Linked DNA regions of Tribolium castaneum. The main gene of each other region encodes a partner of the protein of the gene in region 2 in a complex. Links are inferred from orthologs where the notes say so. Each region holds a gene or a part of one and is shown on either strand. Other genes may lie near its edges.

What was found.
Region 1: vir (region 2) and Mettl3 share a complex: the UniProt entries of both Drosophila melanogaster proteins name them as parts of the WMM complex. The link is inferred for Tribolium castaneum from reciprocal best matches to the Drosophila melanogaster genes vir and Mettl3.

What each region holds. Positions count from the first base shown.
Region 1 is NC_087396.1:23,067,137-23,071,578, reverse strand, and holds Mettl3 (N6-adenosine-methyltransferase catalytic subunit), read right to left. Parts: upstream 2,890-4,442; coding exon 2,308-2,889; intron 2,261-2,307; coding exon 1,813-2,260; intron 1,361-1,812; coding exon 768-1,360; 3' UTR 564-767; downstream 1-563. Other genes in the region: PHAF1 protein CG7083, read right to left, coding at 25-152, 200-282, 449-512; protein bcn92, read left to right, coding at 3,013-3,089, 3,133-3,253, 3,303-3,371; Mat89Ba (nucleolar protein 6), read right to left, coding at 3,422-3,544, 3,589-4,442. UniProt on the Drosophila melanogaster protein: Catalytic component of the WMM complex, a complex that mediates N6-methyladenosine (m6A) methylation of mRNAs, a modification that plays a role in the efficiency of mRNA splicing and is required for sex determination.
Region 2 is NC_087394.1:22,059,394-22,063,215, reverse strand, and holds part of vir (protein virilizer), read right to left. Parts: intron 1,627-3,822; coding exon 1-1,626. UniProt on the Drosophila melanogaster protein: Associated component of the WMM complex, a complex that mediates N6-methyladenosine (m6A) methylation of mRNAs, a modification that plays a role in the efficiency of mRNA splicing and is required for sex determination.

The DNA.
Region 1 (4,442 bases), on a different chromosome or scaffold from region 2:
AAGAACGTAGGGCTAAAACGTTACCAGTATTTTAACTTGACTAATTTCATACAGTATATTTCGATTATTTTTAGCCGCTGTGAAATGGGGTCAAAAAATAATCTAATGCCGTCCTGGGGTAAATTAAGAACGAGGTCTATGTCTAAAGGGTTCTGAAAAATCGTTAGTGAGTGTGTGGTTTGGGGCCGCTCTTTCTTACAGTATCGTTATAGAGGACTTGTACATTCTTTATGTTGCCCACTTGGGACTGAATAATTGCAATAGCCTGGGAAAAATGCATTCCTGAAAAGAGAAAATTCGAAATTACATTTTGAAGGTCGCCAACCAATTAGCGTTACGTAAAATGGGTCAAATTTCCATTCAGTGTTGGCCGTCACATCGCCCCATCGCAAAAACGATGTCAACCATGTTACGCGCAATAAAAATAATAGAGAAAAGGGAAACCCACCTACAATAAACTCCCACTGTTCACAGCCCAAAGAACGTTCAGGAACAACGTTGAGCGTCAGCATTTTCCGCAATCAATAAAAACCAGTCTTTAATCAACAATAATACACAACAAGCAACAAATCAAAACTGTTTATTCTTTTTCTCTTAAATCGAACGATCCTTTGTCTAAAAACTCGTAAAACTTCCAAGCGCCATCTTGTCAAACCTGACATCTGTCAAAATCAGCTGATGCCCCCCCAACTCCACGCGATTAAAGACACTAAACCACCAGTCAATAAGGCAAAAAGTCGCCACCACTCCACCAAAACATAAACAAATTAATGGGTCGTGTCACCGGGGGGCCCCATACAGTTCCCCGTGGGGTAGCGTTTCTTGAAATTCTCGATCAGTTCTGCGTCGACCAGCTTGATCCCGTCCACTTGGTTCCCCAAAGTGATCCAGTTGGGCTGGATGTTGTGGGGGCGCCCGAACAGCTCGATTTTGCGCGTCCCGGGCGAGAGTCGCTCGATCATTCCGTAGATTTCGTCCGGTTTGTGGCTCGTGGCGCGCACTTCGGCCACGATCACGTCCGAGTCTAGTCCCCGGTTGAGGTTCTGGGGGTTGCCCTTCATGCCCACGAGACAGTGCTCCTTGCCGTGGTTCAGCCAATGGCCGGTGCGCCCCGTCCTGATAATGCGCTGCAATTGGTTCGTCTTCACCCAGATTATTTCGTCAACGCGCTCGTAGCCCCACAATTGGAGGCACTCGCGGCCCAGCTCCATGGCACGGCCTGTCACCCACAGGAAAATCAGGCCCTCGTCTTGCAGCTGGGGGATCCCCAGCTGACGCATCTCGTCGTCGGACATGGTCCCATAGGGCAGCTCCATGTGGATGTCCCAGGGGGGGTCCGCCATTATCACGGCGAATTTTCCTAAATTCAACCATTAATATTTTCGGAAATGTCGGGGAAAAACAGTTATTTAAAAAAATCATCGTTCTCCGACAGTTTTCGAGATAATTGCAAAAAAAATAAAAAAAAATAAAATGAAAAAAATTCGTAACTTAAAAACTACTGGGTATTTGGCGATTTTCTCGTCACCAATCGATTCCCCGGATTATTTTACATTGATTTCCATCAAAATTGTTCCACTTTTTTGAATAGTTTTGCCATAATTGAGCTGAAAAATGAAGGTAGCCATTTCAAGAGGAATTTTTAATTCTACAACAAAAAAATTTATAACTCAAAAGCTAAAAGTCGTAGAGCAAAACGGTTTGTTCCAGTGAATTCTGGGCTCATTTGACGTATTATGGCAGCTTTTCACAAGATTTTAAATTTTGGAAGTCACGACCAAACGCAAATATTATTAAGACCGACAAACAAACCTAAGACAGTCATGTCGAGATAGCGCAGGTCGCACTGCACCCACTGCGGGGGGTACAAGGTAGTGCTTTCTTTTGGGGCCACTGAGACGGCGGTGGCGGCCGGGGCTACGCCCTCCGTTTGCCCACAGCGATCGACTTCATAGTGGACGTATTTACAAGTGTCCATGTGGAAACAAGTGTTAAGGAAGGAACAATCCCCTAAAGCTTCGTCAGTGTGTTTTTGTATGATTTTTTTAAAATGCAATTTTTTGCAGTCTGTGATTCCGTTTCGTTCGCAGTCGGCGCGAGTCCCATGGGGGCAAAACTCCATCAGTTGTTTGCCCCCTTGAGACCTGAAGCGCTCGGCCAGCGAACGCTCTTTGGCCGTTGGTTTACTCAACAGATCTAGAATTTCTTCGCCCAGTTTTTTACTCTCTTTTTCTTTCGTTGAGGGCATTGATAGTAAAGACTAGGGAAATTAATTAATTAAAAGGACAGAATCAATCAGTTAATTACCATGATGTCAGCTTTTGGTTCCTTCTTCTCTTTTTTCCTCTTCTCTTCGTCTTCGTTTTTCTCCGAGTCGTTTCGCTTCCGCTTCAGGGATTCCCTCACCCGTTCAGGCAAAAACTCCGCAATCATTGCGTTAACTTTAGTCACATCGATAAAAGTCACTTCGACCACGTTCTTCCCCTCTTTGACTAAATCCTTGATAGTGATCAACTTCTGAGTTGAGAATTTTTGCAACAAATTGCAAACTTCCTTATGTGAGGCATGTCGCTTCAAAGTCAATTTCAACGAATCGACCAATTCCGTCGAAGTTGTGGGGATCTGAAGAGTGACTTCGCTCAGCGCCTTCAACAACTCTTTCTCCAGCTCTGGGTCGATTTTCACCAAATCGATTTCACCCTCCTCTGGTCTTTTAACATCTTCGCCCCCAACACCACCCGCATGGGGGCTGTCGGACAGGTGCACAGGTGACGAGTTGAGACTCGAACCAAGGATGTCCTGCCGCTCCTTCTTGCGCTTTTCCAGGCGTTCGCGCAGGATGTTCCGCTTGCTTTTGATAGCTTGGATCTCTTCCCAAGCGTCCGACATTTCAAAAGACTATTTTCCGCCAAAAAAACACAACTAACACATGTTTGAGGTTACGGCTAACGCTAACTAACACAACCTCAACTCTTTGGTTATGTTCTTTCGGTTTCGTAAAATTGGGGCAAAATGAGTAAAAGACAGGCGTTGCAGTTGTATAAAGCTCTGATTCGCGAGTCGAAGAAGTTTCCGGCTTATAACTTCAGGTAAGGGCGTTTTTGCAAACGATTTTTTCATTGGGGGTTGTAGACACTATGCCTTAAGGAAGATAAGGGACAGTTTTCGGGAAAATAGACAATTGACTGACCAGGACGTGATTAGGCAAAAAATGGATGAAGGAGTTCGTAATTTAGATGTAATTAAAAGACAGGTATTCACAATTAATTCGTTTAGGGGTTAATTGACGTAATTATCTCCAGGTGGTCGTAAGTCAATTATATAGCACCGAAAAACTGGTTATTGAGCACGTGAGGGCCCAAAAAAACTAATTTGTAAGGTTTGTAATGGTTAGAAATAATAAGAGTAATTGTTTGATTTTTTATTTCTTCTTATCAATTGACTTGACTAAGCCTTTTCCCACAATATAAAAGTCTTCAATCAACGCATCCACGTTCAGCTCCAATTTTCCATTCACAAGTTTCCTCCCGCTTGCATAAGACACCTAAAAATAAATGTAATAAATCAAAAAACATCTAAAAATCTCACCTTGAAGTCTCGACTTTCCAAAGCTTTAGGTATCCACAAAACCCCGATAAAATTACCTCCGTACGTATCGTGGAAAAAATTGGCAAAATCGCCGTAATGTTTGCGCAGTTCGGCCAAATACAACTGAACTGGGTTAAAGCCAGTGACTGGAATTTTCGTGCTTTCGTTTCTGTTAAATTCCTCCAAAACAATTTGCCCCTCGGACTCGTCCCCAGTGACTTGTTCGTGTCGTACGGGGTTCAAAAGGGGGCGCAAGTGAATAATAACATCGTACCCCTCAAGATTCGGAATAAACAAGCTTTTAATTGAACCAAAACTCTCTCCTTTGATGATTTGCCCAAAACAATTCAAAGACTCACTTGCCAGTTGTTTGACCCTCCGCAAGACCAACTTCGAGGGCCCCCTTTTGGTAAAAACAGACTCACAGCCGTCGTACGGCATTGCGATAAATAAATCGGGCAAAGCCTCGCGATTTTGGAGGAGTTTCGAGTCGATTTCTGCAAGTGTCTCACTTGCAATCTCATTGTTGAAATTGACCACAACCGCCTGAATATCGCACTGAAGCTCGCTAACAAATTTCAAAAATCGCAAAAAGCCAACTTGGGGGGTCACCGAAGCCCCCTTGAGAAACAACGAAGCGTTGAGTAAATTAATCACGTGGTCGGGAAAGTGGTAGTCGTCAATGAGTTGTGACCTTAGCCACCGTTTGATAAGGGCGGTGCTAGGTCCAAAGCTCGGAAACTGTGATTGGATGCCTTTAAGAGCGCCCGTAACACGTGGCAAAATCCCCAATTGCAATTCGATGTCCCGGCTCATGGGCGTGTCCTTGTACGTTGTCACGCCGTTATTGGTCG
Region 2 (3,822 bases):
GAAACACTGAAGAGCGTCAAACATTCGGAAATATTCGACTAGGACGTTCTTGGATTCGGTCCGAATCATTTCAAACTGGGCCGCGACCGGGAGAAACCGTTTCGGTTGTGAAAACACAAACTGGCCATTTTGAGTGGCATTCAGAATTTGTTCCAAACACTTTGTAATCAGAGTCACATCATCTGGGCTGATCTCGGATGGACAACTGCGCATTTCCATGAGAATGGAGTGCATCTTGTGAAACACTTCGTACAAATTAATCTTCTTGAGAGTCGAATTTAGGGCAAACTTTAGCCGGACTGAAGGATTTTTTCGTAGTTTTTCCACCAGTGTTTTGTAACCATTGTTCTTCGAAACGGTCAAAGAGTCGTGAAAGCCGTTCTCCCGACAACCATTGGAAGTATTCGAAGAATCACCCAAGAGGAACTTTTCGATTGAAAATTTGTGCAAGAGATAGGTGTCCAATGCCTTGATTATCATTAGTTTGATGGACAAAGCCATGTATTCCTGGTCGTAAAGACTTAAGAGAACTTCGTGGATGTTGAAACCTGACTCCCAGAGAATTTTGACAAATTCTCCGCTGCTGCAACACCATTCTGCCAGTCTGACCCCACACTTAATGTGGCGGATTTTATACACCGGCTGGTCTTGAATATTCGCCATTTCGTAACTAAGCGCGATTTTCAACCAATCAAGAAGAGTGCAAGTGATCGAATTAACTTGCTCGACCAGTTCTTTATCTTCGCGAAAATCACGCGACTTTATTGCAACATTAATTTTGATAATGTCGCGAAAATGGTCAATTGAACCAAACGTATTTATTAGTTTTTCGCATAAGTGTATAAACTCTTCCTTGATTTCTGTGTTAAGTTTCGTGAAATCCTCCAGAACGTATTTAGTGATACTCGACTTGAAGTAATCATCAACAATGCCAATCGTTGTCTTCAAATTCTCGTCAACATTTAAGCCCCCATTCGTGAAACAAAACGATGGAGTTGTCTCAAATTTGCGCAAATTCGTGACCCCCGGTATAAACAGCTTGATCAAATCGTCATTATTCGTGTACGCCCCGAAATCATAGTCCATTTCTTCGTCGACGATTTCTTCATCGCTCAAAATCGGCTCGAATTCCTCGACGTCCATTTGAGCGGTGTCTTCAGTGGGAGGCGTCACAACCTCCTTGGCTGGACTCTTAACCGTGGCTTCATCCTTCGGTTCCTTCTCCCGCCTTTCCTCCTCTTCGCTGAAACTATCCACTTCGGGAGGGGTCGGCTCTTTTCGCTCTCCGTGCGGAGTGTGTGGCCGTTTCGGTGATTGGATGGGCGGCGTCCTCGGCCGTTTCCGCTCCTCTCGCTCGTCTCTATTGTACGACCTTCGGTAGTTTTCGTCGTGTTTGTATGATCGGTCGCGCTCGCGGTCGCGATCCCGGTCTCGTGTTCGGTCACGATCCCATTCCCGGTCATTGCGATCCCAATCCCGTTCCCGACTTACGTCACGACTGTAGTCACGTGATTGCCTGTCTCTGTCGCGGCTACGAGAGCGAGGATAGGTTTTGTCGCGGTCTCGCTCTCTGTCTCGCCTTTCGGGCTCGTTGCGGCTGTGGTCGCGTTCTGTACTTCCAGTCTTCTAATTAAAGAAACAAACAAATAAACAGTGAATGTCAATTAGAAATTTGGGCAATGGCGGCTCGCGAAGTGAAGTAGATGAAGTACCACCAAATCTAAAATTTATACTTATCTAAAGCATATAATTGCGGATCTTGAAAACTAAGACCCCTTATTTGAGGTTTTAACAAAGATTTTAAATTCGTACGAGCAAAAATTGGTACAAATTTTGTGGGTTCGAGAACAGTTAAAAATAAAAATAAAATTTTGGATTTGGCGAAAAGTGTTCTAGTTATCAGGGGCGGTAACTGAACATAATATTGATAAGAAATTTGTTAACAGTAAAATAAAAATACAAAATTAAACACATAACATGGTGAAATTTACTGTCAAAAAAAATCTTTCAGTTTCAATCTTATTTTTAATTCTCTCCCAATGTCGACTCGAGCTTATTTTATAATACCGACAATGGAATCGCCTTGTTGGAGGAAAATTTCGCCAAACAAATTTGTTTTTACCTAAAAATTAGATAATTTTCGATCTAATTAGATGGTTTTTAAGAAAATATGTGACGTTCATGGTTAAAAAAAAATCTGCTAAATTACTCTACACAGATCAGAAGTCCTTGAATTTATATCCAATTTGATCATTTTTTGACAAAAAATGATTTTCTTGTTTGAAAAATAAAAAATCAAACAAAAAGACAACCATGTCATTTTAGACCTTCAAAAGTTTAAATTATAAAAATAGTGAGTTCTAGCGTGCTATAACGTTCTCTAAAAAGGCAAAAGCCATCACCAGCAAATGTAATACTAATTTTGTCCCTCTTGGTATATGAACAGTCTACCGGCTGCTCAAAAACCGACGGTGCGTTGAGTTGGTGCAACTCAACGGTCTGTGGCTTCAATGCAGCTAAAGATAGTAAAAAAATTTTTTAAATTAAAATTATTGATAAATAACGAATTTTAAATAAATGATATGTGGCAACGTTGTCTAACAGTCGTGATCTTAATTCGGAAATAAAATTAACTTGACGTCCTCTGGTGATAACTTTTGAATTATATCGAAAACAGTAACAAAGTTTCAGTAATTACACATTTAATTGATATTTAATGAATTGTTCAACAATTTTGCGTGTATAGTGTTAATTGCTTACATTAGAGAAAATCACTTTAAAAGTGTATGATGGTAAATACTAGCTCTGACTTTGGTTCTGCGGTTTTTCGTGGTATAAAGTGTTTACTGTTGGAATTTGAAAGTGGATAAAAAGTGAAAAAGATTTAAATTTTGATTACAAAGTCTTATTAAACAGTTGTGTAATTAAAGACTATAAGTGATAGATTACAGCGAGCACATGTTGGGCTCAAGAAACCAATAAATTAGTGAAGTGTCTGAATTTTAGGTAGAATTTTTCCACTGAAAAAATCATGAAATACTTCTGTAAATCTACAAAACTACATTTAAGATTAACAACTGCTGATACATTTAAACGTAAATTATGCCAAAAGGTAGGCTTTTCACTGTCTTTGTAATAATTTTCCAATAAAGAAAGTGAACCAAACAGTCATTCGTTATTCGTGTTTTCCTCGTCATCTCTAATTTGTCAACATTCGTTTCTTACACCAAAGATACAATAGTCATTCCGCATAAGCATTGTAATAATTGTGAAGCCTCAAAATTCGTACAACGCTCAAAACATCTAAATAAACATTTTCCCGCCATTTATGGTTACTGTTTTCGACCTAGCTCAGTGGCGCCCCCAACGGTAATTTTACTTCCGAATATAATTTGATCAACAATAAAAATAAATTATTTTTGTAACGGTTTCCCAGGAAATAATTCCCAGTGTTGGCACATCTACAAATTGTGATTTTTTGACAAATTTAATTTTTTTAATTAAAAAAACTACTAAAGTATGATAGTAAATTTTAATATAATTATCCATCATTGTGCTAGGGATCGATTAATTATTATGAAACATAGCAACTTTAAAAAATAATGAACAGTGAAGAGATTAACAAAAGTTTTTAGCTGAAGATTTTCTAAAACATGACTTTAGGATTTTTTTCAAGATTTTTCCCGAAATCTACCCATGCTTCTCAACAACGTAACAGTGAGTTGGTGTGCCAGTTTTTGAACTCCCAGTATTTAGGAAAAATTTTTGAACTTTGGGCATTTAAATTTTGAAAACGACGAAAATACTAAAATAAAATACTTA